Mytilus edulis: one gene and its partners. The protein of the gene in region 1 purifies or fractionates together with the protein of each later gene. This does not show direct contact. Links are inferred from orthologs where the notes say so. Each region holds a gene or a part of one and is shown in the gene's direction. Other genes may lie near its edges.

Region 1 (7,273 bases):
TCACAAACAATAATCAAGAACATGCAAGGAAATCATTGATTGATTGCCTTTATTGTACACTTGTTGGCTTTCAATCCTGGTGGAAGTTCATGCTATTCATTAAAAATATCCATATATAAATATAGTTGAGTTTCTGAAAGACATTATCAAATGTCTTTTGTCTGAATGATGTCCACACTAATGAAAAGTAACCTTCAAGACATTAAAGCTACTGAGCACACTTGGCCTTACATTGACAGAACTGGCAGATTTGATACTTTAGTCCCAATGTTAACCAGCGCATACCCTTTTAAAGCACAGAGAAGAAAAAACATTGAGCAAAACACACGGTTGAGAAAACCTGCACATTGAGATAATTTTTTCCAACAGGCCTTAAGATTGAGGATTGACCTCCCAAGTATGTTGTACGTCAACCACAATACACATGTTGGACCAATCATTTGGATCATATTTCAGGAAAAGAATATCTCAAAATCTCTAGGGATAATATACACCTTATATATGCATGTTATGGCTATTACTGGCTGACCTGAGGATCGGTGCCACTTGAACTATAGACGTCATACATGTACAACAATCACTTTTCAATTGTGGTGTAACGGTAGTCACTTTGTTTTCTTGTTTATTCTATTTATTTGGGGAAATTGGTTAATATTAGTATTACTTATAGTTCCGTAACTCTTTCTCCCGAGACTGGCAATGTAATTATTCTTGTCAGGACTTCCTGCTTCTTGCACGTGCCTGACATTGGGCCCTGCCGGGCTTGTTGTCCCTAGGAACTATAAGTATGAAGTCACTCACCAGGTTTGTGGCAGTCTACACTTAGGATTTGAAATGAGCAGAAGCTCATACTGTTTTGGCTTTCAAATATGGAACTTTAAACATGTTAACATGGTTAAAAGGACAAGTAGACTAGCCACAACCGTATATTTTAGTATTTCTTGTATGTAACTTATAATTCAATCATATGTATGTCTTTAAATAAACATCTTGTTTATGTTAACATGTTTTACATACTTTGTCCAATATCCCAGCAGAACTTGGGTAGACAACAGGAAGACAGCGAAGCCTTCTTCTTCTTCTTCTTCTTCCATATACAGTTCATACCACCATCTGGTGTATTATCGAACTGATGCGTGGTGCAGACAAACCAATATTTACAGTGCAGTTAAAAAATAGTATGTACAGTTAAAAAATTCGCACAGTCCTTAATACATCTTGGTCTTCTGCAACTCACACTTGAATGTGTCAATTGAGTTGCAGGCTACAGTAGTTGGTGGTAGACTGTTCCATAATCTGATGGCGTCTGGGAAGAACGAGTACTGGTAAAGCTGCGTTCTTGCGAATGGAACAAGGAATCGTTGGTTGTGTCCTCTTAATGTTGCTGCTGTTGGGATTAAGCAGGATGTTGGTATTGCAACCAAGTGGTTAACTATGCGGTACATCATTATAACTTTATTCGTTGCTCTACGCTCTTGTAGGGTTGGCCATTGCAGCTGGTGTAATAGGTTTGTTACACTAGTGGTTCGGTGGTAGTCACCAGTAACAAATCTTGCTGCCCTACGTTGTACCATTTCCAGGTTGTGGATGTTGTTTGCTGTGTGTGGATCCCAAATGATGCTTGCATACTCCATCTGTGGTCTCACAAGGGTCTTGTAGCAGAGTTCCTTGGTCTTTCGTGGGCATTGTGATATATTTCTCTGTAGAAAAGCCCTGGTGTTGTTGGCTTTTCTTACTACTTGGTCTATGTGAGTAGTCCAGTTTAGTTTGTGGTGGATGTTGGCCCCCAGATATTTTGCACATTCTACTTCCTCTAAGACGTGACCATGGATGATATATGGCTGTCTGATTGGTTTCCTCTTGTTGGTAATCAGGGGCTAAAAAATTTTGTTACAGCTAGCTAGCCCAGGACTTATTGGCAGCAGGATTTTACTAGCCCTGTTGGAAGAACTGCTAGTCCATAAAAACTGACCTGCTAGCCCTAGTATGCCTTAAAAATTAAGAGTTTGCTGCACAATACAAAGTAGGTGCCCTTTGTTTTGAAGGAGACATTATACACTGTATTTAATATTTTTTGTTGATCTGTTATTATTCTTTTGGTGCTTAACCTAACTAAGTTGTTCCCACATTCAAAGCAGACTTTTTATTGGCTAGCTTGGGGCAACTAACGGCAATATTCACAGAGCATTGTCTGTTTTTTTCATCAGCAACAGCCAAGGTAATCATTGTGTCCCAGTTCTGCCAACTTTTCGGGAAGTGAATGCGTTTTTTGTTGGCCAAATTGTTAAGATCAAAGAGAAAAAACAACAGATCAAAGGAAAATGCCGCCAAATAAGCATGAACATGTGTGAGTCTCGCGCTAAAGACTTGACAGCCCTGCTGTCCTGGACGCTATTATTGTTTTTCCGCGGTTTAGCATTTTGGGGGGGATGAATTTTCAGCCTCGTTACTCCATTCATCTACCGTTTTTCGTTTAGAAACTGACAAAGTTCCTAGGGTTCCCGTACTAATATATTAAGAAATATTTTGTTGCATAGTTTCGTGCTCAAGAGCTGTGCAACAAGACATGTCAATACCAATCAATACATCATACCCTCAAATAACGTTAATCGAAAATCTCGGCACGATAAGCAATGTACAATACCTCAATCAATGGTATGAGAAATCGATATTTAAAGTACGAGAATCAACACATGATACCAGGCCACCCAGACATGCCAGAGTTATTTGTTCTATGTTTAAAATATGTACAACAGGACCTGTACAAACCAGTTCAAATTCTTGGATCCCGGATGACTTAATTGAATCGAAATGGCTAACATAGAATAGTGATGAAGGGATTTTTCACTTTCTATTTTGGAAACGTCAAGAATTTTTTGTTACTAGTCCGTCGGGCATATCGGATTACACATTTTAATTGCCCGAGGCGTAAATGATCTAGTCCCGGGCGTCGGGCTAGTGGATTTTTTAACCCCTGGTAATGTGAATGACTTGGCACTTTTTGGGATGAAATTCCATGAGCCAATCATTCTCCCATTCTTGTAGGGTTTCCAGATCTTGTTGAAGTAGTTCTGCATCTTTGGTGTTTTTTATTTCCCTGTACAAAAAAAAGCCAGTGGAAACTCCACCCCCGTTTCAGTGGCGTCAGATAATTTGTATTATGACGTCGAAATTTTACGGGAACCTGTGTGATTTCCAGTAATAGTAGTAGCAATAAGGTATATTTAATTAAGGGATGTATGTATGTTCCGTATCTCCCTCCTTTAGTAGGAGCACCACCATGGGTTATGGTGTAAAAAGGAAGACATTTAACACACTGTATCGATACAGATTTAATGTGAGCATTTGCCTATCCAGTTTCCCAGCCTGGCCGTGACGGGTCTTACTACCAGAAAGTTAACCTTCCCCAAAACAATAAGTACAATGTAATAAAGCATACGAACACACCCACTCACCTGACTCACTCATCCTCAAAAATATAAAAAATGCATATTATAAAAAAACATTATATACAAAATAAAGGATAAGGTCACCCCGGATGCCGCACAAATGCCTAGACAACGAACGGGAAACCGGAGAGGACATACTTGGAATCCAAACCGATACCGCTAAATGCCCAGCTGTATTCCTGGTAGAGGAAAGCCGAAAATCCTATGATAAAGGATCTCGGAAAGAAACTACCGATCCATTAGGGGAACAGCTAAAACCCTCAGACATCAAATAGATTGGTCTGATAGTTTCCCACATGGAAACTACTAATGGATCCCATCTGACTACATGTCTCAAACAAACCTGAAAATATCTGCAGAAATCTTTCTCAACAAAAAAAATATAATCCAAATCATAAAATATACGATGTAAGGATAATAATATTTATCCATGAAATCAATTTGACAAAACAATTTCAATGATGTTGAAGGATTGTCTCTGCAAAAATTTTCACGTCCGCTCTCATCGGCATGCTCGACAGGATGTTCCGATTATTAATTTTAAAACCACTTACAAATTTGTACAAAAAACAAGTGGTGCATGAGGGACGTAAAGCTCGTCACATTTGTCTTCATAACATTCTTCTATGTCAATACTTGAAACAGCACAGAGTAAAACTATAAAATGAAGGCAAATGTCCGTCTTAATCATTTTGGTTGCTAAACTTCTACATTTTCATTTTTTGTTTTTCTTCATTATTATTTCAAAGTCATTTATGTTCTTTTTAATCAAATAAAAATCGGTACTTATTTCAAACGCAAAATCGACATAGATGCACAAAATCTGAAGACCAAAATGTTGCTATAAGTTGCCAACATATTTTTATTTTATTTTCAATCATTGTAATAAGTATCTTGCATAAATAAGATAGTTAATGATATATTTTTTGCTGTAAGTGGCCACACAATTCACGTCATACTACCCAGTAATAATCAAGTAAAAATAAAAATAAGTTCGTCGTTGTTGACATATGAATCTGTGAACCGAAAAGTGCCAAGTTGGAAGCATATATATATGTAACCTGTCACACATATTGTTTACCTTTTTCTCATTTCAACACAATGTCAGATGTTACTAATTTATTTAAAGCGACAGTCAAAACTATAAAAAGTAGAAATAAGATTTCAAAGGAAAATGGAAAGAAAGAATTTACTAATATTTTCCCTGCCACAAAACAGAGGAGTGATTTTGAAAACACAGCAAAAGGATTGGTAAGTATAAGGGGTTTCACTTCTTATTGGTGACAAGAAGGCTAATTAAGTGTAGAAATGACAAAACAGATTTAATGTAAAACAAATAAAATTTTAATTATTTCAAATAAATAAATATAAACAGACAGTGCATTATAATTACAGCTCTCCAACATCTTCAATAGGCGCTCTATCTCTCGTCAAGTTAAAGCGAGAATTGGTAACTTTGTCGTAACCATACAGATATCACTGCAAGATGTTTAAAAAGACAATATACTGCTGATTTTTTAACGTTATTTATAAAAGCTTGTTCTGTTAAGGTTCATTGATCATTAAACAAATGGACAAATTTGACTGTTTTTTCACATCAAAAACTACTCTGTGTACAGACTTACCTGTGCTGTTTGGAAAGTTTTAAGGCCTAGCATCCACATGTATATAAAAGTTAAATGCATTTAGTGTTTAACCCTTTCCTCCATAATAACGCCTTTTGACGCCACCCCCTTTACTCCATAATCTTTTAATGACGCCTGTGTAGTACCTCAGTTGAAACGCTATGTCTCCAAAATGTCTGCATCAGACTTCAAAAAAATTTATCCAATATGAAAAGGAGATTCATGAGAATATCTGACTTGAATTTCATTGATCACTGAAATATTAGTTTTCACAATGCATTAACACTTTAAACCTGATGATTTTTTTTACTGAAAAAAGTCCTATGCGAAATCAAGTATTTAAAAAAAAATATCCATGGAGTAAAGGGTTAAGAGAGATAAAATCTTTCTTGGTTTTTGATGGGCATTTTTTTTCCTTTCTGTGAAAAAATTAAATTTTTCAATATCTTGATTTTTTATGTCAATTTTCACTGAACTAGTACACCAGTTGAGAACCACCTCTGGTTGCAGAATTTTCTTGTTGCGTTGAAGACCCATTGGTGGCTTGTCTGCTCTTTGGTCAAGTTGTTGTCTCTTTGACATATTCCTCATCATGCCCATTTCCATTCTCAATTTTATTTTGACTCTTATTGTTTAAAAAAAAGCAAATCTTTATCAATTTGTACTTTTAACATTTTAATGGTATTTCAAGATTGTGTAAAATAATTCTGATATTACCTGAAATGTTTTGATTTATAACCCACATTGAACAGTTATTTTATAGTTTCAATATTCTTCTTAGGTATCAACCATTACACAGTTGAAAGATTTTCTACTAAAGCACAGAAAGGATTATGTAAATGCAGGCAGGTAATTAGATATGACAAAATTATTTACCGCTACACATATACATTTGTAGAATTATGGAGATGTGGTCGAATTGCCAATGAGACGACTTTGCACCAAAGGTAAAAAAAAATGGATGTGAGCAATTATAGGCAACCATACTTATTTTAACAATGATGTCAAAAGGGATTGAAAAGTTTGCCAAGAGTGATCTATGAATTATCTTAAAAACATAGGCACACATACATAGAGATACACCATGTACACATACAATAGTTAAAATAAACAGAATACAATAATTTTTAGAATTAAGTAACACCAGTCTAAATTTGAACATAAATCTTTCCCATGGCTTTGAGAAATCATTGCACATTTGTTCCAGTAAACAATTTGTCTTAACTGGACCAGACTCTTTTTTTTTATAAGTCTTTTACACACATGAATCAAAACTACGGTAAACATTGGAAATTGTGTTGTTGTATGAACATTTCTTCAAATGAAATAGACAAAATGCCGACTGACCAATTACAATGTATATATATTTGAATTAATTAATGTGGATGATCATTAATGACCCATTCGATAAACAGATCTGTAACAACAGATTATGACACCTGTTGTAACTGTTGATTAACATGGGGTTGTAAACAAAGTCATAAACTTGTCGCCAGGTAAAATTTTGTAGAATTTTTTTTTTTTTTTTTTTTAACTTTTACCAATTAAAATGAAGATCAATATTGTCAAAAGAAATGAAAATTTTCACATGTTTTAAATGTTGGGGCCAGAAATATCGCCAGCAGCTGTTTTTGTCGCCCGATGAAATAAAACATCACAAATTGCGACATTGACGACGCACAGCGCAGTCCCTGCATGATTAGGTCAAAACTTAAATTTTACTTGCTATTTGGTTCAGTAATGCATATCTCTTTACTGGATCAGACTCATTTTTACTAAACTCTGCAATCTTGGGAATGACTGCTGTGTGTTAGTTAGATTGTGGTTCATATTCATATCACATTTACATGTTATGATCTTGAATGTAATCAACAGATTACTAACAGAACATTAAACATCAGTCAATTCAAAAATAAGCATCTTGCTATATTTAAACATTAAATACAGTTTGACATTCATAATCTCAATGTTGAGCAGACTGATAAAATATTTTGAGATAACCGTGAAAACATAATGTAAATCTGGCAAGTGTGTAAGACATTTTCCTTGAAATAACAGAAAGGAGTATGTTCAGTAAGACCCCTTTTTGGCCCCAAAATATAGCAGTTTTAGAAAATTGTGAAAATGTAATCCATAAGCTTTATTTTGGAAAGTAAAATGATTCTGCTACATAAATATGAGCTGTTTTTGACAATACAA
Region 2 (7,340 bases), on another chromosome or scaffold:
CGATTTCTCTGTCAATGGAGGAATTCCTTTCATGTCTGTCCCTCTGTGTACTCTCTCGTCTGTCCCTTTCATTTGTTTTCAACTTACTTGTATCTTTTTCAGGTGAGTTCTCTCTAGACAGGTGATCACTCATACTTGTGATAAGATTTTGAACAGGGGACAAGACCTCTCTTGTTCCACCACTACCTTTTGGAGCCACAATACCAAACACTGGAGTAGTACTTGTAGCCTGCATTGGAGCAGCAGGGGCAAGTAATATGTTACTCTTAGGAACAATATCATTATTAGCCCACAGTGAGGTTGCAGGTGAAATATTTTCCTTCTTTCGACGCTCAATTGCTCTTTGATATGCTGCATGTTCCATTCTTCGACTTGGTGTATTACGACCAGGTGTGGTCCTACCATTTGACGATTTTGTAGGTGTTGTTCGTCCTGTGGGTGGTTTGGTAGGAGTCAACCTATCACTTATACTTCTACTCGAACTCAATGGTGAACGAGGTCTTTTTTCATCAATCCCACGATTTGAAAATCTACTATAATCAATGGAAGAATCCTTTTGTCGACCTGCTGATTGAGGAGGTAAAATAGATCCTATAGTTCTATCTGCTTTCATTGGTCCAGTTTTTCTATCGTGTCTATCCCCTGATTTTCTATCTATGTTGCTCTGATGGTGATCTGATGCACTGCCACCAACATGTCGAGGATCAGATATATTCTCGTCATCAAATGAATTACTGGACTGTGACAGATTTCTACGTCTAGGTGGTTGGAATGGGCTCTCCTTCCTTGGCATGATAGGACTTTGAGTAGGAGGATCCTGGGAATCCTCTGTCACAGGTTGTATAGGACTAGGAAATCCTGAATCCGCAGCTTTTATATCTAACTTTAGTCCCTCATTTTGAGAAATAGTCACAGGTTGACTTACATGTTCATTGTTCTTCAATATATTAGGACTACGGCTAGTCCTGTTATCAGAACCCTTTCCCTTTCTAAAGGGGTTCCCACCAGATGGCCCTAGTCCTGTTGGAGGTGGCTGGTTTATTGAGACTGATGGGGGACCAGTACTTTCAGCAATGTTATTTCTTGGAGGCATGGGAGATGAGGAATGTTTTGGTATTAGGTTATGTGGAGGTGAACCCTCTGCTGGTTTTTTCTCAGTATGACCTGTTTCTGCAGTATTTGGTGTCTCTGATGGTGATATATTAGTGGAGCCTATAAAAAATTGTACATTTGCACTACTATCTGTAGAACCCTGACGGCTGTGATTACTAGGTGCTAGTAAATTGTGATCGGAAGGCACCAATTCCCAATCATCAGAAGTCTGTGAATTAACAGGAGAATCTTTTGACTCTGTTGACACCTTAGGATTACCATCAACAGAGGAGCCTTGACCCTCTATTGCGGAATGATTTATGTCCTCCACCTTTCTATCACTTTCATTTGATTTTTCCTCAACATACATATTTCCCATTTGATTTTCAATTGATTGAACATTATCTTCGACAAGTTGTGTGCTAGAACTATTTAAAGTTACTAAACTTTCACTACTAATATCAGGCTGAGGTACATGTGAATTTGGGTCCAATTCTTTAGACAATCTAGCATCACTACTAGCTATATGTTGGTTATCTCCCCCTGATGTACCCAACTCATTATTTACTTTTCCTGCATTAGATGCATTTGTATTGTACAACTCTGTTGAGTCAGTGTTTGTATAATTTTCATTATTAACATTTTGAGACTGGCTATCACTTTGAACATTTAAGTCAGGATTTTGGCCTGATTCTACAATATCTGTCCCAGGAGGCTGCTGGTCAGCTTCAGTATTATTCCAACCTTGTTGATACCCATAGTTATACTGATTCCATTCATAGTTCTGGTTATTATATTGACCCTGATCATCATAATTTTGATATGCCTGAGATCCATATGGTTGAAATGCCTGAGCTTCAGCATTCAACTGCTGAATGGGCTGTCCTTGCTGGTCAAATTGTTGAACAGCTGGTGCTTGATTTGGGTCATACTGTTGTGCTTGATTTGGGTCATATGGTTGGAAAGACTGTGCTTGACCTGGGTCGTATGATTGAAAAGGTTGTCCTTGGTGGTCATTTGACAAATCTTGATTATAAGACTGTTGCTGTGGTATACCTGGATTTAAATTATAAAATTGTTGAGAATTCTGATCTGGACCTTGATAGTGTACTTGACCTTGTTGACCGAGGCCTTGATCTGACTGCTGACCATTATATTGTCCATAATGATTGTCATTTCCCCATCCCTGGCTCCAACTGGATTGGTTTTTATGGTCTGTCACAGTTCCATCAGTCTGTGGTGATGGTCCATTTTGATGAAATTCTGCTGGATTAAAAAGTTTGACATTTCCTTTTGCCCCTTCTGCACCACTGTTCCAGGGGTTAGTTATGCTCATACTGAAAATACAATAATGATAAGTATACATGAACCTTTTTTTTGAAAAGAAAGTTAAATTCAAGTAGTCATGGTAGTCATGATAGTTATGAATAAAAGCTAGAAACAGAAATATAATATTGTTTCTTTGAAAATACTTAAAAAGACATTCAATAATCTATGTAGTTTATCTATTTACTTATTTTCTGTTTATTTTTATTTAAGTAAGGGGTCCTATATATTCTTTTAACAAAGATATAAAATAAAACTTAAAAGTGAACATTTCCATGCTCAAATTTTATTACATTTTTTTACTTTTGAAAAACATGTTTATTTCTGAGAGAAAAAAAAAAAAACCAAATAAAAGTGAAAGTGACATCTAAAGATTTCAAAACATATTACTCTCACCATAGATAGCCTTCTGCATATCTTACATTGTATGATCATATAAAACTTCAGAATTAAAAAAATAAGTTAATCATGCTTTGTATACATGAGAATAGCTAAGTTTTACCATTACTCGGTAAACAAGTGTATGTGAACTTTCAAGTATAAGAACTGAACATCCTTCAGATATGTAACATGTTAATGAATTATTGTCTTCCCATACATTTATTTGCTGATATTTTCCCCTATGCAATGACCTTACATGTAACTATGATACCTCTCGTTACAACTTTGGCCGAACTGCAAGCGTGAAGGGAAAAATTTGATGAAAGAATATAAACAAACGTGCATTGGAAGATAACACCTGTTAAGAAAAAGTCTATTTAACAAATGGGAATGCATAGAAAATTAAAATAAAAACAAAACAATCACAGATATCATCGCACTATTAAAATTCACTTATTTTCCATCTGCTCCATAGTCCTGTAAACTTTGGCTACAAACTCGAAAGTTAATTAGCTTGTGTTGAACAAACACTCAATAAAATTTTATTTGTCCTTAACATGTTAAAGGGGTATTAGCTATAAAATCCATGTCCACCAATTTGACTCTAATTCTCACAATTGATTTTATAACATAATGAAGCGTATATTAAACTTACAAATGGTCTAAAATGAACAATTGACAATGCATGGACTAAATAATATGTAACAACATTTCGTGTGTATTGATCTACTTCATGTAATTAATACAATAATCGAAACAACTACACACTACGGATTATCTTCGAAAACAGTGGGTCAATGTAAGTGTTGCAGCTAAGAAAGTATTTATACATATCTGCCTGGGGAGAACACAGTATATATCCACTTTTATCAAATTATTCTCGATAGTTGAACATGGCTGTAACATATGCTGGGTTGGTTTACCTGCTTATAAGCTTTACCATCAATTTTTTATTAAAACTCGATTACCTATATATCATGTATATCTACATTATCTATCTAGATGTTTACAAATTTCAAATTTAATTTTATCAAACTACAAGTATCAGATTGAATTTAAAGCATGGTATTTACTAGTTCGAACACTGGTTAATTAAAAACATAAACAAACAGAAAGAAAGGGAAACAGCTGATGACATTCATTTTTCATCATCACTTAATTCGTTAATCCCCGACTTTCAGTTTGGATTCAATGCATTCTCTCATTATTATTCTTAAAAGCTACCTTTTGACTTGTACAAATTAGTGTGTGCTGACAGAATACGTCATGAAAGCTGTCAAATTATTAAAGGCCACAATGCTGCCATATTGCTTTCAGTGGTTACGTGTGACGTTCATGCGCACTTTCGTTACGTTCTTTTTAACTGTTTTTTTCGTTTTTTTCTTCTTCACAGTTATCAAGGGATTAAATGAGATCATGTTTATGTGTACTCAAATCTGTAGTTGTCTTACCTAAGAAACGAACAGTGACTTGCGATTTAAAAGGTTTTCAGTGAAACTTGCTGGGTGTCTGAACCGGAAGTACATTGTTTTGTTTACCGGAAGTGTCAAAATTATTTATCCGTCAAGCGCACCACGTCAGCTATACCATCATAACAAACCTCACATGCAGTCTTAGTATCATACATGTACATTAAACGAGTTCTTTGATATAATCGTTGCCAGAATGGTTTTAATGACCATGATCGCACGAGTTGCAGATGCACTGCCCTTAGCTGCATCAATGCAAGAGGATGAACAGGTTATTTTATTTCAAATAATGTTTTAGACAGCTGTGGTGTTGTCTGTCAAATGTCTCATATAGATTGGTTTTATCTCTGAAATTACAAAATCTCCTAACACGTCAAAGTAAGCGATCACTCTGATCAGAACAAGTTACACAACAGGCCACGGGTTAGGTCCATGAATCTTCTTCAATTCCCAAAATTCCAAAAAGATATACATACACCTTATTGCTATTTGTCCGCCATTACTGGATATCACACAGGTTCCCGTAAAACTTTGACGTCACAATACAAAATATATGACGCCACAATGGAAAAGTGATTGTTGTATGCGACAATAGTTCAAGCGGCCGGGTCAGCTGGGATTAGCGATAAGGTGTATTGTAGCCTGGTGCAAAACAACTCGTTCCAAGCGACAACTTAGTGTTAGACTATCAATAAGTCAATTTTTACCATCTACCAATCTACAAACTGTACTAAGACCATACGTAATTCCATCGACTAAGACAGTATTAAATTCACAGACCTGCCAACTATTCTGAATACACCTTATCGCTATTTGTCTGCCATTACTGGACATCACAAAAGTTCCCGTAAAATTCTGATGTCATAATAGAAAAAAAGCGGGAATAGTGAGAAGGTGTATATGGCAATATCATGCTGATTTTCATGCCCCAACCCAATTTCGGGATCGTAAAACAAGTCAAAATCCCGATTACTGGTATCACAAATTATACCAGAAAAAATTATTTGTTACCTATTTTGAAGTTTATCAATTTCTATAAGTCTATCTTTTAACCTGGCAACAAAATTATGACAAGTGTGTCAATCAACTGTCACAACAGGTGTCATAATAGACAACTTTCGAGTTCGATGCATTTCCGTCAAAAACTCTGGTTTTAGTGAACGTCATTTGTGTGTTTAGGGGCGTCGTCACTTCCGTTTCAATGTTGAGCGAGTGGTTGGAAAACTATAATTCTATATTGTACGAACTATTCAGCAAATTAAATTCTCAAAATTGACAATCAGCATTGCTGTTATTAGGGAATTGTCATTAAGTACCGACAGAACAACCATTATTTCTAGTTTATCCTGCACAACGACGATCACTAAGACGCTTGATGAAGGTAAATAGTACAGGGATACAGGCGATCCCCTCTATCTGGTAAATGACGTCATAAAGGCGCGCATAATTGACGAGTTTTTGCCGGTGACGGATGAACTCGAAAGTGGTAAATTTATTGTTACATGTACACCGATTATCTGATTGGTCATAACAATACTCTAAAATTAATTAATTTGTCAGTCATGCAGTCAGCATAATTTCAATTTTAATCAATTTATCCTACAATCACAATTTACAACGTTTACTGTAGCTAGTTTCATGACAAAATCGTAATAAATGAAAGGGGGGTCTTCACTTTTTTTTTTTTTTAGAAATTTAAACATTTACTTAGAGATTTAAGCACTCAAATATATCTGACAGACTTAAAAATATCCATTGCTGATATTAATTAACATATAGTTATTTTATCATTACTTTGTCCTGAACTTTCCACTCTTTTTGATACAGGCAGGAAGAAGCTTAATGGACTACCAGGCACAAGCTAAACAACTTTTCCGTAAGATATCAACCGATCCACAGCCTCCAGGAAGATGTAGTTTAGAATCTGGACCATATATTTTTCAGTAAGTAAAACATAGTTTAAACATGCTAAACATATATTGTCATATTCATAGATAAAAGGAGATTTTAAATAATTTTTTATGATAAGCAACCCAAGAAAATCAAACATCAACATGATCAAGTGGTCAACATTCGTATACACATGTACCTTCTTCAAAGTTTATATTTAGACAGTTATCCAGGGTACATTAAGTTGTTTTTGTATAAGTATAAATTGTGGATAGTATTTACATAAACTTGATTCAGATATCATTATAAATATTACAGTACATAAAAATAATACTGACAGGAAATATATAATTAAAAACCAATGAGGAAAAACCCACTGATAAACAACAATTACTTTAACACCTGAGCGATTGAACAAAACTTACTTTGCTAATTTTATGAAGGACCTTGTAAAAAATATTACATACATTTGTATAACACTTCCTGTGTAAAAGTTATATACAACTGACATTGTAAAAAAATAAAGAAAAATACCAGTAGGGTTTTCAAAAATCAAAAGTCCAAAGTCCAAAATCAGACAATACCATTTTCTTTCATCTAATATATCAAATTAAGTTCCTGCTCCAAATGTTACACATGTCATGTTGTTCAAGAAACTAGAAATCTAGTAATACGCTGCTTCTGCATGGGATAAAAAAAATTAACTTCATAGATTATCATAGTGTCTAAATTTAATGTACTCATTCAACTCAATTTCTATTTTATTCTAGTTTATTAAAATTTCCAACTCATATTATATTAAATATATGTTATCATGCAATAAATGATGAGATACAATGAGGATTCTGTTTTTCTAATGATTTATGGAAAATAGTTTTGCAATACATTTGTACTTTGCCGATCTTTTTTGATAACTTTAAAAACATGTTCTCTATGTAAAATGTCATCAGAAGACAATGAGAACAACCATTGTAGAAAAATAAAAAAACAGGTAAACAAAGAATTTGAAGAATGGAATGTAATTTTTCATAATTGATGTACATACATTGTATGGATATTTACTCAATTTTGTAAATCAAGTTATACATGTTATATTTCCATACTCATACAGGCAGAGTGGCATAATTTTCTGACTTTTAGCAACATCAATTTCAATATGTGACAATCTTGAAGTGCTAATTT
Region 3 (7,110 bases), on another chromosome or scaffold:
CCATAGAACAGACTACAGCAGATGGTCACCAATGGGTCTTCAATGTAGCAAGAAACTCTCCAGACCGGAGACGTCCTTCGGCTAGCCCCTAAACAAATATATATATACCGGTACTAGTTCAGTGATAATGGACGCCATACTAAACACCAAATTACACACAAGAAACTAAAATTAAAAATCATACAAGACTAACAAAGGTCAGAGGCTCCTAACTTGGGACAAAACACGGCTGGGTTAAACATGTTTTGTTTAGATCTCAACCCTCCCAAATTACCTCTAGCCAATGCAGAAAAGTAAAGGCATAACCATACGCACAGTAAAATTCAGTTCCAAAGAAGTCCGAGTCCGATGTCAGAAGAGGTAACAAAAGAAAATAATACATAAATAACAACAGACTACTAGTAGTTACTGACATGCCAGCTCTAGACCTCAATTAAACTGATTGAAAGATTATTTCTTCATCATATGAACATCAGGCACAATCCCTCCCGTTAGGGGTTCAGTATTATACCATCATAAAATATATAAGAAGAACATAACCCGTGTCATGCCAACAGCTGATTTGTGATAAAATTGTTTATTTTTAAATAAATGTGTTTAATTCCGATGCAAAGCCCCTATAATATATTTTATAGCAAACGGAAAAATAGATGCAAATCGTGTCAGTATCAAAGCCCTTATTCTGACTTGTAGCTTGCTTGATTGAGGATCTATCTCATTGTTGAAGGCTGCACGGTTTAAAACTCGGTGGGATGGTTATTTCATCCATCATATCAAATCCTCTTATTTTATACGTCCACATTTTTTTATTGAATCAAAAAAGACACAGGACAATTATACTTGAGTCTTATTAAAATATAGAACTCTGATTTCGTTATACTCCATATGAAGTATAACGAAATCAGAGCTCTATATATAATAATTAGACTGGACAGTATTAGTACTCCATTTAGTGTGTGTATATACAAACATGCATTACAAACCATGACGGGAAAACACAATTTACTAGAAATGCAACAACATAAGTTAAATTCAAAATCGCTTGTTTCCCTTTTTACAGTGAATAGAAATTCTTTATTGAAATATTTATTATGAAGATATGTTATGATTGTCAAGGAGACAAGTATTTAACCAAAGTCTAAATGAAGTGGATGTAAGCAATTATAGACAACCGAACGGCCTTCAACAATATGGGAAAATGCACCGTATATATTCGGCTATGAAAGGCTTTGACATAAACAATAAATATATAAACAATTTTAGTGAGAAAACTAACGGTTAATCTGTAAAAATGGGACCTTACGGGTTTAAATGTCAATGATTTTTATGGCAATGAAAAGAACTTATGCATTTAACTATCCTATATACTTGGTCCCAGATGCATCTAGTCAGACATTTCATTTAACGATATCAATATACATTTGTTGCTCAAAAGCTCAGCTTGGTCAATACAAAGCAGAGAAAAACAAGAATGTGTCCTAGTACACGGATACCGAACTCGCACTGTCATTTCATATGTTAAGTGGATTGTGACATTGGGGCCAAAACTATAATTTCGCAGTAAAATTAGAAAGATCATAATTATCATAGGGAACATGTGTACTAAGATTCAAGTTGATTGAACTTTAACTTTATCAAAAACCTAAAACTTTAATCTGAAGCGGGACAGAGGGACGGACGAACGGACGCACAGACAGAATAAAACAATAAATTGGGCATAAAAATGAAAATTGGTATAGATTGTTATCAGCAGCATGTCTACCTCTTAATTAGTCCAGAACAACCAACTCTACTTAAAGCTAGAATAATCATTCAAACAAGTTCTATAATAGTAGTCAGGGAATCTATCAAAGGGATAGACCGATAGGTTGCTGAACAACAAGTGGTCGCCTACCATATATATATATAGAGAGAGGGGGGCTAAGAGGAAACAATATTGGACGAGAATTGTGTGTTATTTACGAAGCCAATACAGCGAGGCCCTTCAAATGTTCCGAGTAAATAATGAGATAAGACAAGGTAATATTACAATATTTAGCGTAATATTTGTGTCAGGCACTACCTCATTGCTGTCTGCTTTGTCGACTGGTATTCACACAAAATGCTTTCCGATAACTTGAAGCCTATGTCTAATCCGGGAACTGCATATATTGATATATCAATATGTCATACCTTCTTATTTTCATATTAATTGAAATTAGTTATGTATATCGGATTTCTGTATTTATAATTTTATATCAATGTTAACAATAAAAAAATATCATATTTGGTTACTTGGTTTTCTAGTTTACAACCTATTGACGCTGAATGAGGTTGAGTAGACTGAATGAGAAGACATCATATGAGTGCCAATAAGACAACTCTCCATCCAGAAAAGTAAACAATTATGGGTCAAAGTATGGCCTTCAACACGGAGCATTGGCTCACACCGATCATCAGCAAGATATAAAGGGCAACAAAAGACTAGTGTAATACAATTTAAACAGGAAATTACCAACGGTCTAATATATATAAAAAAAACCGAGAAAAACAAATGAAGCACACCATCAAGCGACAACCAATGAACAAAACTGACTAATGATATTAGACTATTATAACATGACAAAAGGGATCATATCTAAAGTTTGACATTTTACAGTCTTATGTTGGATAAGGATTATTTGCTACACTGGCAACTGTTGATGCAATAGATTTATGATAATATACTACTTTAAAAACTGTGGTCATAAAGTGTCAGTTTCCTTATCCAATTGTGTGAATGGTGTTACAAATAAAGTTATAATTGGACGCATATTCCAGTTTCCTGTTTTCGGATCTTTTTAACGGATAAAAATGTTAGTTTCTTATTCAAAATAATAATTTTTGGTCATGGTCATGTAATTTTGTAAGTTTTCTATTCAATCGTGTTTGTTTATATATATCAACTATTCAAAACAAGTATGATACGGTTTTGCTATAAGAAATACAAAATGATGATTGGGGACAAGCCGATCGAATGGTAATGTGATAAAGGCCTCTTTCAATACAAGTCTTTATAATAGACTAGACAAAACATCAATTTGAGAATGTAATTGGGAAAAAAGCATACAATACTAACGAAGGCGTGCGCCAGAGGCCCCTGACTTAGAACAGGCGCAAAATGCAACAGGGTTAAACATGTTTGTTTGAGCCATCTAAAACCTCCAGCCAAATGTAGAGTAAAGAAACACATAACAACACGCACAGTAACTATTTAAACATCGTTTTAACTGAAGAAGTCCGAGTCTGATGTCAGAAAAGGTAACAAAAGAAACTTTGCAAAGTGACAATGATACATATATTAACAAAGGACTAACCAGCAGTCACTGACATGCCAGCTCCAGCTACACCTCAATTAAACAGATAGAAAAATTAGGTCTTTATCATGTGAAAATCAAGCACATTCCCTCTCGTTAGGGGTTTGGTATCATACCATCATAAAATATATGAGAAGAACATAATCCGTATCATACCAACAGCTGCTTTGTGATAAAATTTCAGTTTATTTCCTATGCAAATGTGAAACCCAATGAGTGAATCAATATTTTATACCAAAATATGTCATCCTAAATGACTTTCCAACAGTATTGTAAGTATATTCCTTATCAGGGGCGGATCCTGCCATTTAAAAACAGGGGGGGGGGGTCCCAACCCAGGACAAAGGGGGGTTTTAACTATATGTTCCCATTCAAATGCATTGATTGGCCAAAAAAAAAGGGGGGGTTCCAACCCCCGGAACCCCCTGGATCCGCCAATGCTTATGGATATACGGTATAATATATACATATCTATTTCTAGAATAAATCTGTTTCATGATAGGTTTGGTTGAGAATATGAAGTGAAATATATTAGTCTGTTTATGGTGTTAAAAAGCGTAAGCTATAACAGAGAGCAAATGAAAATAAGTGAGTCTGATCAAGGATTTGTATAGCGTCGCTTTACAAATTCTTGGTCTGATCCGTAAAGATCCTATACTCAGAAACGTTCACATATTCGGACATGTTCGGTTGTTTCCGCCTTTTTACGTCTTTTTTCGATGGAAAATCGGAATACGCTTACATTTCCGTCTTTGGTCTTAATATTATTCACACCGGAAGTTGACGTTGACTGACAACATGGGAGCCAGCATTCAGGAACAAATTTTACAGTACGCAAATATATTGACTGACAATGTCCAGAAACAGGATCCAACTACCATAGGCATCATAGTAGCAATCTTAGTTGTTTTGCTTACAATAGGTAACACATGATATTTTATTTCACCCAAGTTAATGTTGCAATCGCGTGAAGAAATGTGGCCATATGTTTTATCCAGATTTATATGCGGTGCAGGAGCTATAATTTACATTAATAATCAAGAAGAAAAATTAAAAAGACCTGTCTCTAACAAAGGATCAATCTTGCTAGCTGAACTTATAGCAATGAAAATTGTACTCGATTACACAGAATCTTTTTCAAAACAGCAAATTGATACTTTATTTTCGGACAGTCAGACCGCATAATTTAGGTATCTTAACTCTTAATTGGAAAAGTGACAGCTATCATCAAACCATTAACGAAATCAAAGGGAAGATAAAAAATTTAAATGAACATGGAATTTTAATAAACTTAAACTGGACACCAGGACATGCCAACATAAAAGGAAACGATGAGGCAGACTCCCTAGCAAAAGAAGCTGCTAAAGAAGCAGAATCACTAGCAGTTGATGACATAGTGTATACAAAACAAGATGTAAAAAAAGCAGCTAGAAATTCTGTTACAAAAAAATGGCAACGCAGATGGGAAAACAGTAATGCTGGCTGTCATTATTTCAGATTTCATCCTGAAGTTAAAAATAAAGTAAAAAAAGACTACCCGTCAAAAAAATGTACAACATAATCAACAGTTTATGAACAGGTTATTCTAAATTAAATGCATACCAATTTATAATAAACCAGCACATCAACTCGGAAACCTGTGATCACTGCAAAGAAAAAGAAAATGTACAACACTACCTTTTTGAATGTGACCTGTAATCAGATGCCAGAGACAAATTATTTCATCAAATATACTTCATAACAGGACAAATTCCAACAGATTTAGACGATTTATTAACAATCAATTTGCCAAATGCAGAAAATATCAGTCAACTATTAGCGGAGTACATAGAGGAAACAAACAGTTTAAGTGGATAATTTAATTTAATACAAATTTCTTTTAATTTTTAATATTTTTTAATTTTTCATGCCATTCCAATAACCTAATTAACCTTTTTTTTTTTCTTCAAGTGATACATTTATATAGTTCTATAATATTTTTAAAGAGCCACCTACAATATCTAAGTACAAAGGAGAAACTACATTAGTGAAATTAATTTTACAAGAGAGGGTAATTCACAAGAGAGATTACTCTGTCATCACGACAAAGATTGAAGATTGAAGATTTATATACATAATGTAGTTTACAGTGGCGGATCCTGAAATTTTCATTAGTGGGGCTCACTGACTGCCTAAGAGGGTGCCCGCTCAAGTCACACTTTATTGATTCCCTATAATATGAGGCAGGCATAATGCATGCACATTACCTGTAAATGGGGACAAACAGAAATACAGTAACCTTTCCGATTTTGGTTCTATTGTTAGGGATTTTAGTTGTGACGTTACTTATGTTATGACTCATATGCAATGTAAACAAAGAAATGCTATCATCATGTAACGTTTTTTCATATCAAGGAATAATTAAAAATGAAATTGGTTTTGCGTTCATTCCTATTTTATACTAGACTGATAAATATATATTTTACTCAAAGTTTCATACAAACCAGACCGGTAAAAGGAAGAACATTGTAGATTTTTGCGCAGATGCAGGAATTAAAAAACATGACATCAAAAAAATTGAACGATTTTGTTGTTTTTGTCGATCCTTGCAACTTAAGTCGAAAAAGCGAGACATAGCGATCCTACATTCAGTCGGCGTCGTTGTCGGCCACAAATATTCACTCTGTGGATAAAGTTTTTCGAATTTTAATAACTTTCTTATACAGTTATACTATTTTGGATTTGTACCAAACTTGTACAGAAGCTCGTTCATGATCAAAATCTAGTATCTAGAAGGAAATTTTGTTAAAATTTTGTCCTTGTGTATACATCTGTTTTTTTACTTGTAAATGGACTTACATGTAGTTTTCAGTTAAAGTTTTTTAAAACATTAATTAGATTCATAAACTATCCTGAATTTTTACCCAACTTGGACAGAAGCTTCTTACAATCGATATTTTTATTGGTTTTTTTCCTCATTTTTGTTGAGCCTGCGATTAACAGCAAAAGTAGACTAGACACTGGGTTTTGTGGAACCCTTGCAAATTTTCTTAATTACTATTCTACATTTGTGTACATATCTATTTTATAACCTACATCATAATAAATGAACTCTAATTTTGAACAAAAAATTCTCATAATTTTTTAATGATACTGTATAATTTGACTTCTGGGAACACAGGATTCAACTTCAGTTTATCATCAGTCCGATATGTCCTGTCTACATGGTCTAGTTGAAGGACAAGGAATAAAATAAGAGATTATCCTTATAGATACTTTAACCCCTTAAGTAAAAATTGAGTCATAAAATAAGTAAATAAAACTATGTGAAGTACCTTCTTCAAACAATTACATTTTGTAGTTGTTATAACAGTATTTAGCTTGGATGACGTGTACAGCCATTTTACCACATGTTTTCATTAGCCATACTAATAATACCTTCATTATTTAAGTCCATTGTTGCCAAATGCTACAAAATGCATTCAGCTGTTATTTCTGTTAAAAGGTGAAATGACGAGTATTGTCTCATTAAGGAAAAAGTCTGAGAAACCTGAAGCAAATTTAACAAGATAGCAGAATTCAAACAATTGTATTTCTTAATTTCTAATTGCCACAATTATTATTGTTTTGCAAAATGTGAAATGGCCACCATTTTAAACCCTATCCTAAGTTCTTTACTGGTTATATATGACATGTATTAGGGCTGCCAACTCAGAAAATTACTCCTCATTCAGATTTCAAAAGGAATTATTATGGATCATAACATTAACTACTGACAAATATGGCCTTGTTTATA
Region 4 (7,550 bases), on another chromosome or scaffold:
TTTTTATATAGATTAGACTGTTGGTTTTCTTGTTTGAATAGTTTTACACTAGTAATTTTTGGACCCTTCATAGCTTGCTGTTCGGTGTGAGCCAAGGTTCCGTGTTGAAGGCCGTACCTTGAACTATAATGGTTTACTTTTTTAAATTGTTACTTGGATGGAGAGTTGTCTCATTAACACTCATACCACATCTTCCTATATCTATTGACACATCTGTGTCATCTCTGTTATCGTTCACTAAAATATCGTTATTTGAACTTGATGGACCAGCAATAGGTTGTAATTCAGGTTGGATTGGTTGGTCCGACATCTCTTCTGGATCAGGATCTGTTACTTTAAGGTGACCCTTTGCCTCTACATCAACCCTTACCACCACGGCCACGTGTTCTAGTAGATTTTGGTGGCATGACTGTATTGTTTTTAAGAAATCTACGTATTAATCAGAAATAGAAGGAATGGAACTGTATATATGAAACACCATGTTGACGTTATTGCTGAGAACTGAGAGCGTAGTAAGATTGCGGTATAAACGTATTATAATCGTGGTAGAGCATGCCACAATCGCAGTAGAAGCGTGGTGCAATCGGATAACTCGTGATATGGTCGTAGTGGGAACGTGATGAGCGTCGAAAGATCTTGATAAGTGTAGTGAGGTTGCAGGATAAGCGCAATGAGAACGTGGTATAATCGTAGCGGGATTGTTGTAGAAGGGTAATGAGGATGTAGTAGCATTGTGAAAGCAACGAAAAATTACATTTTTATGCCGCTCATACCGCGACCTCACCACAATCTGAATTTATTTTAGATCGCGGTGAGCGTGGTTCGATCGTTGTCTAGTGGGACTGGGGATTTAGGTACAATAATGAGCTGGTTTTTAAACAAGGTAGGTAACAAGGTTTCAGTCCTCAGGAATACATTTAATACAACAAAGAATCATTATTCTGACCAGTCATAGCTCCTACTCCTAAATGCAATGTACTAAGCATAAAAGCTTCAAATATCAATTTTCAACTACATGTATTTGGTTTGACCTAGTCTGGGTTAGAAAGATAAAACTAGTAAGCATATTGACAAAACTAAAAAAAAGTACTTGAAAAATGCTTTACAGTTCATCTGTGCATATTTACATATATATATATATATATATACAAGAGTCATGAGAGTATTGGGAACCAAATTTCAGTGTTTATATATTTAGTGGTTATCCTGGCTTCCAATCTTTCCAAAAAATATATGAAATCATTATTTACCCCTTTCTTGCCTGGTATTGCACATTCCCAATTCAATAAATTTAATGTTCCATCTGGATTTTTGGTTGGTCTGGCTACAAAACCCTGCAAAGGAAAATAATATAACAACATACTCTCCCTCAAAATAAATTAAATCCTACAGAATATTTGTTACAGGAATATTAAAATGACAAATACAGTGCACTTTTTTATTTACAATACTTCTTGAACAATACAACAAGGAACTCAATGACATTAATGTAATTCTATGAAATAATTTTCTTGTTTTTAGTCTATAATAATATATAATAGTTTGACTTACAAATGGGTGATCTTTCCTCCAAGCTTTTCTTTCTTCACTCAGTCTTCCTACAGCTATGCCAGACATCTTATTAGTTCAACTGCAAAAGTAAAATACATACAAATTTATTGATAAATATTGAAATTGGTTACATGAATTACAAATTTTCCTTCATGTTGTGGATGTAGGTAAATCATGAATTTGAATGGTCAACAGAGAACAAATTTTCTTTAGTCTTTTCGGTTGAATTTGGCAGCTTTGTTCTTTGGCCACTGAACTGTATTTCCCATTAGCAGTTGGAAAAAATTTCTAACAAGTTGAAGTTTGATTTGATAAAACAAATTGCTATTCGTTCAAGTCACAGTAATAAGTTTGTTCACTCATCAAAAGAAGACATAAATAAACAAGTAGCTTTTCTACTAAAAGAAATGCACCTGAACATAATTGCCTGTTTGGTTTGAAAGATCGGAGAATTATAATATAAAGATGTGTAAATCATTCCTCATAAACATAATACATTGTACATGTAGAAAACATCTATAGATCCTAAACATAACTATATGTAGACTACCATTAGTTTGAGCAAATTTGTGTTTCAAGTAATTTATGAAAGAAAACATTACAACATGCAAAATAGGAGCCAACCACAGGATGTTCCATTTTGAGGGCACTGTTTTAGAAATTTGTATACTTTAAACAGGTGATCAAATTGTAAACACTTGAAAAGCCCTAAACCTTATTTTGAGAAATGTATTCTAACCAACCACATACAGGTAGTCATTAATAAATAACTTATATGCAACATCAAACATAAAACAAATTGTATTGTTTTACCACAAGGTTTTAATTAATATAAAGCCAAAGAATATCATTCAGTCTCTATAAATAGTTACCCAGTTTCACTCCTAAAAGGTCCTTTTGTATTTCTTTATTTTATTTTATTTTTATTCCTATTTCTACATGTCTACTGTTAAAACAATTTAGTATATTTGTTTATTTCTCCTTTGAAATTATTATGTGTAGTCCATAAGATTAAAAGTAATTCTATTTGCAGTTATAAATTATTGAAGAAATGGAATAGTTTTAAATAAATATTATCGTTATTTATCTGTACAATTTTTTTTTTTATAGAAATTTTTATTCAACGAAAGAAAATGAAAGTTTAAATTAAAAGAAAATGCCCTTTTTGTTTCTTTTTAACCATATATTAAAATAGAACATCTAAAGCAAACTCTACCTTTTTTCTCTTCAAATATCAACCACCTTCAACAGGAACCCTAACATGCGTCTCTAATTTAAAAAGTAAAGGTATGAGATACTTATATTAGAGTCTGACTTTTATTACTCCAACAAAGTCTTAAAAGATTAAATACTTAGAAACTCCAAAATGGATTTTAATTCTTCTTTATAAACCTCTTTTAAGTATAAACATTACTTTTTCTAAAGTTTTGGATAATGTTTTATATCATGATCAATTAGTAAAATATAACTCATTAGCTGCCAAATAATACAACTTGAATGAAGAAAAAAATATTCAAGTCAAATGTTTATAATAATTGGTTTATTAATTAAAGCAATGGCTTTAATTATCACCATTCACAAAAATAGTGTCTCATTTTTTTTTAACATGCCTCCAGCTATTCAATATAATGTTTATATTGCAGGGTACAAAACAAAATTGTTTTCCTTTTATTTTTGGACATGTTGGAAATCTATATAAATTCCTTCAAAAACATCTTCAAAAATAGGGATGCAATTTTGGAAAGGTACCAGTCAGTACTCCCTTTAATCACAAATGTTAAAGCTAAGTCAAACTGTTTATGATTTTGTAAAACTTTACTTTTCAGCAAAAATGACCTTGACAAGTTTTGTCAATTACTAATACATGTATGTGTTTATACAATTTAAGCATAATTACATTTACATTTACATCCTTAACTATTAAGATTATAACACAAAATTTGTTTATATAACAATAATCAGCCTTTTATATCTCTACCAGTGAGGGTGGCAGGTGCCCTTTAGATGTTTTTACAACAATGAAATGTTCAAAATGGCTGGATCCACCCCAGAGCAGGGATAGCAGTATAGGTCACTGGTGCTGTGTGCAAAAAATTAATGTCTCATGATTCCATTTCTTTGGATGACACTTTGGTGAAAAATTAAACTACATTGTAACAGTAATTTCTTTTTTATATGACAAAATTATTGGAAAACAATTGATTTTTTTACCAACAGCAAATTGGAAGCATGATTTTACTTCAAATTACAGTTTCAATTTTGGGAAAAAGTCACACAGACTAGTCACTTCTTAGTTATCTTGTCAAAAGATTAAGTAACTCAGAGAAGTAAATTATTTGGTCTATAAAAATAGACTAGTCGGTAGTCTAATAAGAATCTTCTTCCTTATAATTGAGTTTTGTTTCTAACAGTCTACAGTAAGCTTAAACTCTGTGGGCCTACCTATGGTCACATTACAAATCTAGTCCCCTTTGGTTACATACAGTATTTACAATAAAACCCAATTGATAAGGTTAAAATTATTAACAATCATTGAACAATTTGAGTCTGGGATGCAGGATGGGGCCTTAACCAGGAAAAAGGGATTTAGTCTGAAGGGGTTGTGGTAATTCAAATGTTTATCATTCAGCTTTGTTTTCAATAGCATGTCATTGAAATAGTTACTCCACGGATTAGAAAGAATAACTTGGATATCCTGTTTCCATTTAGGCAAAGAACCATTCATGATTTTCTTGTTTTAACGAAGATAACACGAAAAAATAGAATCTATTCAAAGATAACAGTTGTATATATAAAATCGTACAAATATGTGAGGGTACTTTTACAGTTTTATGTGTCATTCAAAAGAGTAAATGGTTTTAAAGAAAAATCCTTTCTCATTTCACGAAACTTACCGCTGGAAAAACTATGTCACGTGAACAGATCAATTAGACGCTTTACATTAATCTAACACCTTCGCGTCAAGCGTTTGTACGATGTATGTCAACTATTTTTTTCTAAGGGAAGCAACTATGTAAACAATCCCTTTCTTCACAGATGGCAAAATCAGAGAAGAATGTCCACGTTACAGAATACTTGAACCAAAATATAAAGACTCTATCAGATTTAAAAGATGTTCATAAAAATATAAAAGAAACTGTTGAGTCATTAGGACAACAAGTAATTAATGCCTTAAGTCATAGGAACAGTACACATGAATGAATCCATGACAAATCGCCCCACTGGCAAATCGCGAGTTTGTGAAAAAGTGTGGCGATTTGGTGTTGGGCGTTTTGCTAGTGTGGCGATTTGTCCTGCTTCCCACAGGAATGAGGATGAGCAATTTCATTTTGCTCTGTTTTTGAACTGTTGAAACATTTATGAGGGTAGTAATGGGGGTACCTTCATGACGTATATCATCGTGTAATGTGTTTTCGTACTAATAACAATTTTCACTGCTTACGGTTTTTACTGTTGAGTTTTTATTTAGGTGTTTACTCAAATTTAAAAAGCATGTCCTGTAGATTGATTTTAGGTATCTAGTTTTTTTGTCAATGATTTCTACGATTTTTTACTGTTTCCGATTACTTTGCGATTTTTGTATGTCAAAAAAACGGCGTCATATGTTTTCGTATGAAATAAAAATTGGATCAGTACACGGACAGGAAATGACTACAAAATCCGGAAATACATTTTTTCTAAAGTCGTGGTTCGGGTGATCGCTTAAATCTTAAAAAAAGTTATTAAATACTTTTCAGTACAAAAAATTACTAGTAAAAAGTGTAAGGTTGGTGTTTCGTGTGATGAAATTTTTACGGATTTTGATTAATTTCAGATTGGCACCTGGTTTGTACAAAATACATTATTTTTTCTAAAATAAAATGCAGTTTTCAAAATTTATGATTAAATATAAAAAGTTAAGACTGTTTTCATCTTCATGTATCAAGGATGTATAAAAAAAATTGTCAATGAAATATTGAATAGTTAGATTTTGAACAACCATTTTATATAAGAACCCTGCTAATTTTAACTCGATGGTTTGTAATTAAAACGGCCAAAAAAACACATGACAGTCATACGTCTTGAAGATCCGGTGTCTGACTTGCAAAAAACATATCTGGACTTTATTTTAACCCTTCAGAATTTTTTTCCACAACTATTCTAGTGATGCGTATTTTTGACATTAAATAAAAATGGCTAAATAGGTCAGTTTTATTTAATTTGTTCTAACGTCTTTAAAAAGCGACGTTGAATATGTTTTAAATATATCAAGTTGTAGTGGTGTTGTTGTTCTAAATATAGAAACAGAAAAACATGCCACAATGTACGCGTATGCAGTCGAAACCGACGAAATGTGGTTGATACGAAAACATATGACATACGAAAACATATGACACGACGATAATGGTAAAAATTCTTGCCAAATGACGTTAACAGTAATTTTTAGTGCATGACGATTAATTGTACACTTTCTTTTAGACGATAAAATTATCTGAATTTGACGAATCAAGCTATTTTTTTTCCAAAAATAATGGTGATGATAACTATTTGAGTCTTTAGTCTTTATGAAGCAGTCAGGGGACTTACTTAAATAAGTGATTTTCTAAATCACTGATTCAAGTAACATTATTTCCATAAAGGTTGGAAGTTAGAGTTGTCTTTCTTTAATAATCACCTATTTAAGTAGTACAAATTAATCACTAGAAGAAGTGATTTAATTTTATTGTAGCTTTAAATATAGAATACTAATGATCCAGGGACTAATTATGTTTCTAAACTTATCAGAACCAACATCTGTGTTGTCTAGGATGACCAGGTCATTTCAGGTGATGACCTTGTACTGAATCTAGGATAATGACATAAAAATCACTTGTTTAAGTATCAGACCTCAATTTCCTTCAAAAAAATCACTTCTTTAAGTATCATTCTTATAATAACCCCCACTAATTTCAACATCCCCGAACAGTGAAATTTTTATCGCGAACAGTAGAATTTTATTACATAATGATAATCTGAAAGATAAAACCTTGAACTTCACAGGAAAAATACTCCCACTGCTGGGAAAAATCTTTTAAGAAAATATCAGTTCATTATGTAAAGCCATTATTATAGCATTTTTTCAACTAAAATAGAATTTTCAGCTAAATGATAGCATCAAAGGCATAAACCTTTCTACTTAAAAGAAGCAAAAAGTTCATTTTTTTTAATTTTACTAATTTATAAAAAGATATTTTTTAAACCTATGTGTTTAAAATTTTGAAAAAACTACAAAATCCCAATTTGTGACAAAACCTCGAATTTGCTACTCAAATAAGTGATTTAAAAATCACTTATTTCAGTACATTGTAAGTCCCCTGACTGTTGAGACATCTGACGAATCACAGTAAAATTAAACCAATTTGACACTATAGGTAGTAAAAAATTACCGCTTGATGCCTGTCAGTAAAGGGCATATAATTTACATCCCTCATTTATGCCTAATTTCTATACATGTCTACTGTGCACATACATTTGTAGATTACTAATATTATAGTTGTATATTTTGTGAGAGTTTAATGAAATGAAGGTTTAAATAACCAAATTGAGGTTTCCACAGGGACTTGTCAGTGTCTTCAAGACGAAGTGTAGTATAAAAAATGACCTTCCATTAGTGGCAGAACCAGGGGTTGTAGAAATTCCTTGTTCAAATTACATATTTAAGGTAAAAAAGTGCGGACTATACACAACCAATTACGGTAATGCATATTTTATCTACAAAATCTAATATTACTGCAACAATTCTTTTATTTTTCTTAATAATAATATTTTTAAAAATGAAGTGGCGACTTGTCTTGGTCCCGAATTGTCGAAAACTGATGCCAAAATTACTTCAGACTTTGGTGTCAAAATGTCTTGTTACTGGGTTGTAACCACCCCCTGTTTTAGGATCAATGCTTTTGAATAGGGACATGATAATGATGATATTGTTGACCCCCCCCCCCCTCCTTTTCAAAATGACTGGACTGCCCTCAAATTTTTGT

The links.
Region 2: the proteins of syntaxin-18-like (region 1) and vesicle-trafficking protein SEC22b-like purify together in Homo sapiens (affinity purification with mass spectrometry; 5 studies listed by BioGRID and IntAct, counting the BioPlex papers as one, with this or other methods). This does not show direct contact. The link is inferred for Mytilus edulis from reciprocal best matches to the Homo sapiens genes STX18 and SEC22B.
Region 3: the proteins of syntaxin-18-like (region 1) and signal recognition particle receptor subunit beta-like purify together in Homo sapiens (affinity purification with mass spectrometry; 3 studies listed by BioGRID and IntAct, counting the BioPlex papers as one, with this or other methods). This does not show direct contact. The link is inferred for Mytilus edulis from reciprocal best matches to the Homo sapiens genes STX18 and SRPRB.
Region 4: the proteins of syntaxin-18-like (region 1) and RAD50-interacting protein 1-like purify together in Homo sapiens (co-immunoprecipitation; 6 studies listed by BioGRID and IntAct, counting the BioPlex papers as one, with this or other methods). This does not show direct contact. The link is inferred for Mytilus edulis from reciprocal best matches to the Homo sapiens genes STX18 and RINT1.

The regions. Positions count from the first base shown.
Region 1 is NC_092347.1:80,145,806-80,153,078, reverse strand, and holds the start of syntaxin-18-like, read left to right. Parts: upstream 1-4,266; 5' UTR 4,267-4,550; coding exon 4,551-4,700; intron 4,701-5,855; coding exon 5,856-5,923; intron 5,924-7,273. Other genes in the region: TM2 domain-containing protein 2-like, read right to left, coding at 4,004-4,140. UniProt on the Homo sapiens protein: Syntaxin that may be involved in targeting and fusion of Golgi-derived retrograde transport vesicles with the ER.
Region 2 is NC_092345.1:3,362,740-3,370,079, reverse strand, and holds the start of vesicle-trafficking protein SEC22b-like, read left to right. Parts: upstream 1-4,315; 5' UTR 4,316-4,464; coding exon 4,465-4,539; intron 4,540-6,095; coding exon 6,096-6,211; intron 6,212-7,340. Other genes in the region: protein transport protein Sec16A-like, read right to left, coding at 1-2,428. UniProt on the Homo sapiens protein: SNARE involved in targeting and fusion of ER-derived transport vesicles with the Golgi complex as well as Golgi-derived retrograde transport vesicles with the ER.
Region 3 is NC_092356.1:41,361,803-41,368,912, forward strand, and holds the start of signal recognition particle receptor subunit beta-like, read left to right. Parts: upstream 1-4,088; 5' UTR 4,089-4,133; coding exon 4,134-4,257; intron 4,258-7,110. UniProt on the Homo sapiens protein: Component of the signal recognition particle (SRP) complex receptor (SR). Ensures, in conjunction with the SRP complex, the correct targeting of the nascent secretory proteins to the endoplasmic reticulum membrane system.
Region 4 is NC_092352.1:32,415,844-32,423,393, forward strand, and holds the start of RAD50-interacting protein 1-like, read left to right. Parts: upstream 1-4,533; 5' UTR 4,534-4,587; coding exon 4,588-4,710; intron 4,711-7,550. Other genes in the region: SUMO-conjugating enzyme UBC9-B, read right to left, coding at 1,251-1,334, 1,552-1,617. UniProt on the Homo sapiens protein: Involved in regulation of membrane traffic between the Golgi and the endoplasmic reticulum (ER); the function is proposed to depend on its association in the NRZ complex which is believed to play a role in SNARE assembly at the ER.